Linked DNA regions of Coturnix japonica. The protein of the gene in region 1 purifies or fractionates together with the protein of each later gene. This does not show direct contact. Links are inferred from orthologs where the notes say so. Each region holds a gene or a part of one and is shown on either strand. Other genes may lie near its edges.

What was found. Proteins that work in one complex are often made in the same cells at the same time.
Region 2: the proteins of PDE6D (region 1) and RAB28 purify together in Homo sapiens (affinity purification with mass spectrometry; 3 studies listed by BioGRID and IntAct, with this or other methods). This does not show direct contact. The link is inferred for Coturnix japonica from reciprocal best matches to the Homo sapiens genes PDE6D and RAB28.

Annotation. Positions count from the first base shown.
Region 1 is NC_029524.1:13,402,360-13,406,115, reverse strand, and holds the start of PDE6D (retinal rod rhodopsin-sensitive cGMP 3',5'-cyclic phosphodiesterase subunit delta), read left to right. Parts: upstream 1-1,479; 5' UTR 1,480-1,596; coding exon 1,597-1,646; intron 1,647-3,208; exon of another isoform or gene 3,209-3,756. Other genes in the region: COPS7B (COP9 signalosome complex subunit 7b), read right to left, coding at 561-941. UniProt on the Homo sapiens protein: Promotes the release of prenylated target proteins from cellular membranes. Modulates the activity of prenylated or palmitoylated Ras family members by regulating their subcellular location.
Region 2 is NC_029519.1:70,292,082-70,295,737, reverse strand, and holds part of RAB28 (ras-related protein Rab-28), read right to left. Parts: intron 1,273-3,656; coding exon 1,169-1,272; intron 1-1,168.

The DNA of each region.
Region 1 (3,756 bases):
ATGGGAGAAGACCTCAGCTTATGAGCCCGTCTCCCTGGGACACAAGCTCTTGTAGCAGTACCTTTGGAGAAGAGCATTGCAATGTGCTTTGGGGAGGCAGAAAGGAGGCTGGAGGTGTCTCCTCACCTGCAGTGACAGCTCAGAGACTGTGATGCCTGCCAGAGGTGTAAAAGCAAAGGTGAGGTTTTTAGAACAAAATGGTTCAAGGGAATAGTGAGACTTGCTGCAATTTTCTTGCAAGAGAAAGTATTTTGAGAGGAAAGAACTCAAGGTTTCTGTCACTCTGAATCACAGAATATCCTAAACTAGAAGAGACCCATAAAAACCACTGAACCCAACTCCTGGTTCCACATAGAACCACTCAGATCATGTGTTTGACAGCACTGCGCGGGTGCTTTTTGAACTCCAGCACCCAACCAACCTCTAATTGAAGAACCTATTCATGATATCCAACCTGAACCTCCTGAGTTACACTGTCCCACCACACGCTTCTTCCCTAGTTTTAGGAGGGGAAATGGGTGGTTTTTGAAGCTGAGACGCAGAGGCTGCCAAGCACGTACCTCCTCACACAGCGTGGAGAGTTTGGGCACCCATGTCAGAACCACAAAGGCCCCAACACCGACATCAGGGCACACTCTCGTGTCAGGAGCCCTTCGCTGCCGTTGCTCGCTGCGAGAGCCGCTTCTGTCTGGCTGCCACCTCCCTGTAGCCCTAAGCGGGGCGGTTCGGAGCCCCCTGTGCTGTGGGTAGAGCAGCATGCTGTACTTCTGCCCCGCAGGCTTCTCCCTCACACACAACCGCTCGCTCTGGCCTTCTCCAGCTCTGCTGCTGCCTGCGCTCTCCCTGTCTCCCTGCCAGCTTTTCTTCGGGAGCGTTCTCTGCCCTTCTCTGGACGCACTGGGTAACGCCGGGCTATCCAGAACACAACAAGGCTGCTCCATGTCAGCTAACGGGGCGGTCAGCGCTGCCCACCGCCAGCCTTAATGGCACTCATAGGCTGTGCCGTTAATGGCACTCATAGGCTGTGCCGTTAATGGCACTCATAGGCTGTGCCCTCGTATGTTCGACGCCTCGCGGTTCTCTCTCCTCAGCGTGGCAGTGCTGTTGAGGAGCTCTGTGGCAGTGTACGCGGAGCCCCCAGTTGTCGTCCCGCACGCAGACTGTTATAAGCCGTGTTAACGTATTAACGAACGGCCGGCACCGGACACGCGTCCCCAATGGGGCCGGGCGAGGTTTGTCCCGCGCCGCCTCCCGTCCCCGCCGACGTCACTCAGCCCCGGCCGGGCCCAGCGCCTTAACAAGCTGCGCAGCCGCCCTTATATCAACGGAGGGGGAGGACGCGCCGTCCGATTGGTCCATCCCGCTGTCCTTCATCAACCAGCAGGGGCGTCGGCGGCTCGCGATTGGTTGTCCCGTCGGGGCGGGGAGAGCGGCCGCTGGGATTGGCTGCCTCGGCCGGTGGCGGGTGCGAGGGAGTGCGAGGGGGCGGGGCGGGGGGTCGTGAGGCGCCGCTGTCAGCGCCGCTCCCGGCCAGGCCCCGCGCAGCCAGGACAGCCCGCTCAGCCCGCCCAGCCCGCGGCGCGGCGCGGCAGGACCATGTCGGCCACGGACGAGCGGGCCAAGGAGATCCTGAGGGGCTTCAAGCTGTATCCTCACCGAGGGGGAGCGAGGGGGGGGCGGGCGGGGCTGGGGGAAAAGGGGGGGGGTGGCTGGGTACCGGGGTTTCCCTGTGTGAGGGCGGTTGTCATGGCAGCTCTGCCACACACGGGGCTGTTGTGTCGCGTCCCCCTCTCGGCCTCGCGTTGCGGGTCCGTCCCTCTGGGCGCTGGGCCGGGGGCAGCGCGGGGCTCCGAGCGGGCACTGCTGCGTCGTGCCGGGCCCTGAGGCGTCAGCGCTGCCCGAGTCCGGTTGTTAACGCGTCTGTCTGCGGTACGCGATGAAAGTTTGCGCCTTGTCGCTTGGCGTGCTGGGCGAGCACCAGTTTAACGCCGGTGCAGTGAAGCAGAAGTGGGAGCGGAGGGTCCTGAGTGCGGCCTTGCAACCTTGGGGATGGGGGGGGGGAATGACGGCTCAGCGCATAGGTCTGTGTGTGTGTAAGGGTGGGAGATGTGTACAGCTGATTTTACCGTAGCAGATTCTACTGCGCATAGTGGGCAGGTGCCAGCTTGGCCTTAAGGGGCAAGAAAACCAGTGGCTGTATTTTTTTTCCCCCCATAATGGAAAGGACAGAACCAAAGTGAATGAAAGGACAGAACCAAAGCGAATGAAAGGACAGAACCAAAGCGAATGAAAGGACAGAACCAAAGCGAATGAAAGGACAGAACCAAAGTGAATACCCCTCTTGCTCCAATGCTGTTATTCCTGAGCATATTTTTGGCCAGCGAGGTGCTGCTAATCTCTGTGCCAGCTGCAGCAGAATCTGAGTTACTCAGTTGGATTCAGCTGCTATCAAACTATTGGCAGATGCTTTGCTGAACTTATGAATCACTGTCCCCTCCCCCCCAGCTTTTAGTTCTGCAGCTGGTTCCTTTGCTTCTGCACTGGTAATATTGACAGTTCTTTTTGTTTGTGGAGCTGTAAGATTTTGGCTGTCAAAACACAATTTAAGCGTGTTTTGTGCGAGTAATTAGGAAAAGCATAAGCTCCTGACAAGATGAGACTGAGCTTTTGGTAGAGATGAGAAGGGTTGGAGAGTTAAACTTAAGGTACAGACTTTCACGTGTTTGTTTCTACTGGTTTGTGCACGTGCTTTGCCAGAAGCAGAATCTGAATGAAGGTCTGTGTCCAGCTATGGATGAAAAATCACTTCCATTGTTTGGTAACTTAAATAGAAAATGTTTCTTGACCTGGTGTTAAAGGTAAACCTCAATAGCTCAGATTGGAAAATCAGGAAAGTATTTATCGATGTATTGCATAGATGGGATTTCTTGAGTTGAGATAGTTGAATAATATGCAAGTATTAGAAGGAAAGTGACAGAGCAGGCATTCCTCATTTATGAGAGAAAGCCCTGAGACACCACAGCATCCACACAGGAAGCAGTTCGTGCCCAGATGTGGCCTCATTCTCTGTAAGGCAGCCACCAGCTCAGGCTTCCTTTTTTTGACAGTGTGTATTCTAAAACAGTACATTTGAAAGAGATGCTTTATCTTCTGCTCCCTGTGCTGAAGTATGTGTTAACTTGGTGCCCTCAATAAGAAAGGAAGAGAGAAACATCCTCCGGGAAGCTCTCAGGTTTATATTTGGAGTACTTGAACTTCTTCCTCCTCCCAAGAAGGAAGGAGCACACCCTGCAAACTTGCTGTTAGCACCAGAAGCCATCACAGCAGTACTTTAGGTATGGCATAAAAAGAAATAAGTATATCCAAGGTAGGTTTATTTGGTAGAGGGCATCACTGAGGAATCAGTTTTCTCACTTGAATGCAAGAACACACACTTTGGAAATGGAGTTTGCATTGAGTACTGGAGCACCCTCAACTAAAGTCTGTTCATTTGTGGTTTCTGAGAAGAGACTAACTACAGGCTTTCAAGCTGATTGGGACATGCTGCTGTGCACATTAAATTACAGCCTAAATCCACCCTCTGACTTAGCACCAAGATATGCTTCCCTTCCTTTATGACACTAGCACAGAAGCATGTTGTGGCTAGCGTCAAATTCAGACCAGGGTATTTTACTCCCTCTTCCCATAGACTTTGTTACTTAAGAAGATGAAAACCGAAAGGAGAAATATTTGATACTTGCAGACAAAAGAGGTTTC
Region 2 (3,656 bases), on another chromosome or scaffold:
AACTACTGTAAACCATTCTTCATACCTTCTTTTGTCAGTAGATATTTAGACAGAAAGTTCTGGTGAATGCTTTTAGGTACATTCAGATTTACTTTTGTTTTTAAACAGTAAGTTAAAAAAAGTACGATTAGCATATACAGTGGGATGCTGCTGTAATCATGAATTACATCATCAATTAAAAAGACATAATAAAGATTCCTTCTTAATTTGTAATGTTAACTACATCTATCTTATAAAAACCACTACTTTACCACAAAATGGTTGTCTCCTTGAGAAAGGAACACATTTCATCACATGCAAACTTCACTGCATGAAGTATTATAGAATTTGTCTTCTCTTTCTAACATAAGAAAAACATTTTCAGACTTTAAACAAAAATTCCTGCCAAAGATTCAACACAAACTCTAAGGAGAATCAGGATTCACTGCATTTGTATCAGCGGTATAACACAATAATTACACAGATTATAAAATCTGGCAGTCCACTCTAGAAGTAATTGAGCTTTCATCAAATATCTTAAAACAACAAGTGATGCCATTTATGTTACAGAAATATGCTTCCATATAACTGGACACGGTCTTACTCTCCAGAAATACTCAAATAAAGTACATTATGTTGCCTGTATGAGAAAGAGACAGACTTATTTTTTACAGGAATCACAAAGTCATTAGGCATGCAATAGAAATCAAGAAAAACAATACAATGTGATCTCATCTGACTGATACAGTCAACTAAAAGAGAATCTTATCTTCCATACACTTCCAACTAAAACAAGTATCCAAGTTAGGTCTGAGATAAATGATCATTCTAAAATGTGCTCGGCAAAGCACTACAAATACCAGAAAGTTCAAGTTTGAATGGACCTGCAGAGAGAACGTCTTCTGGCTCAGAACCCATATTAAAAATTTTGATTGTAACAGGATCTTGTGAAATTATCAACTGTTAAAAAGTTTCTGTGTTGATACTCTATAGATGAGACTTCACCTGGAACAAAGGCTGACAGCAGAGACCCAAAAGGCCTCATTTCTCACGATGATATACTAGCCAAGAGTACTTCCATATTATGATCTATACCTCAATCCACAAATCAAATGAGAAGATGCTGTAGTTAATAAAGAATGTATACATCCACAGAAAGATCAATACAGAGTTTACTTTTCTTACTTACAGAATCTCCTGTCTTGGCTGACACAAAATGACTACTGAAATTGTTTTCCTGACAGAATCGCTGATGCTTGTCAACTTTCACTGTGCGCATATGCTCCAAGTCAACTAGAAACAAGCGGGGAAAAAAAGATTACTGCATTAGAGTTGCTTTATGTAGTTATCTGTCTTAGAAAACTCGTTCATTAGGAATAAATCACATGTCATCTTATTCTTTGCAGAGGCGTGCAAGTGCCAGAAAAATACAGTAATCACAACAGTCATTGTACAAAAGAAGAAATCCATATCTGATCTAAAGAAAAAAAAACCTATGGACTCGCACAAGCAATTGGTAACAACTTTCCCAGTAACTACATGCAAGAAAAAAGAATCTGAAACAATTAAATTGCGTGTTTTGTTTGTTTTTTTACAGGTATAATGTCAGTATAATTAGTTATAATTATATATGTATTATATATATATATATATATTATATATAATGTTAGTCCAGCATAAACTAGAGACACATAGTTCACAAAGCACACCTGAAATGAGTCATAAATAACTTTATTGAAGAACACAGTAGAGCAAAAACATTCACTATAATAATAATAATTTTAAAAATAAAGAATAAAAATATTGATGGTTCATTACTTTATATGTGAAGTCTTCAATTCCACATTCCAGCACATTTTCATTTTTAGCATTTTATAATCATGGGAAGCAAAGTAAAGCTTTCGAACGCTATTTGATGTTAAAAAGCACTCGCCTACAACACAACATGGAGCTCAAGTCTTGCACAGGTTTTATTGTGCACATTCCAGTTTTTCCAAATCTGATCCTAAGGTAACTGGAAACTATATTGAAAAGTTTCTCTTTTTATTGCATTACAGTTCCTATAAGGGTGTTGACTCTCTGCCGTCAAATTATAAGGCAAATATATTCAGAAGGATTTAAGGACAACCAGGCTCTTTGAGTCAATACAGGAAAAAAAAACTTAAACTGATTTCCTGAGGAAGGGACCCAACTGACTTGTAAAAACTTGTAAATTTGCAAATCTAGTAAGCCTGCATAATAGTGTCATTTGATTATCAGCTGAAAAAAAATGCTCTCATACTTCATAAAAGGCTTTATTTTAAAATGATATTGGAGGTCTTTAATTTGTAGGCTCTGGAGATTTTCTCTTGGAGATTTTTAGTCTAGCAGGGGATTCCTACACCCCATTTATACTGCTTACTTTGGTTAATGTGGAGTTTTTGCCACATATTACTGTTCCTTGCACATCAGTAAGGCCTTGTTTATAAGAACAGGCCTAAAATCATCCAGTTACCACAGGCATTAATTTGTGAAGGACTAAAATACTAAGCTATTAACACTAACGTTTGTAGTACAGTACTTCATAACATTAAATGTAGAATATACAGCTTTACCAATAACAGGCAGAACAAAAACATTAATTAAGATGAATCCCAAAGTCAGTAAAAAGCCTCATACAGTCTATGTAACAGTTGTTTAACTTTTTTCCATTAAAAATAACTACCAGGAGAGAGCCTCTGCAAACTCACAAGTAACAATTTCTCTCAATCTCTCTTTCCCAAGAGGAAAAAAACAGAGGTCACAGGAACACAAGAGCATACAAAAGGTAAATGAATTTCAAAGAAGAAAATGTTCTGCCTTGTAAGAATTCATACCACAAAGCGCTTCTTATTTTCTATTTGAGTAAATATTAAGAATAAAATATGGTCAGCAGAGCATATGTTTTACTACAGTAGAGCAATTAAAAGCATGCGAGATCCCAGATCTTCAAACAGACTGGAAGTAAAAATTGGGATATAACCGTGTTTCTGAAATTTGTGCCATTCTCAGTTCTTCTTCCCATTTGGGAGTATTTCATCCCATGGCTTCTAAATTCTGGGCAGTTTGCTGTGAACTGTGCAGTTACTGTTACAGAAGATAACTGCCAGGTGCCTGTCCATATGCGCACACTCAGCTCAGGGTAAACACAAGGCAATTCATGTTACAAGCACTCAATGAAAGAGGGCACAGTTTCAGTACTAGAAAAAGATTTCAAGTGTTAATAAACATTTAATCACGAAAAGCTGCAGGGCACAATCATAGACAGTTACTGAAGATCTGTTAAAATGCAGTAAATAATTACCCCCTACTTTTTTTTTAATTGTTATTATTTTATTTCTTTGAACATCCAACGCTGGTCAGCAGAATAAGCAGAATTCATAGCTAACAGGACATAACTCTTGTCCAGCTTTTATTTAGAAATGTCAGAGAAAAGACTTTAGGAAGGATCTGGAGGAGAAAGCTTATTTTCTAAATAGGTGTTTATAAGAAATGCAGGAACTTCATAAGGAGGAAAAAAAATAAAACAAACAAAAAAAAAACCTCATAGCTGGCCAACATGGGCTGGTACAATGAATCACTCAGCAGCAGGAATAGGTGTCTTTGGGATGAAGGATGATACAAGGATGTACTTAAGCCATGAAAAGCTTAAAGGCAAA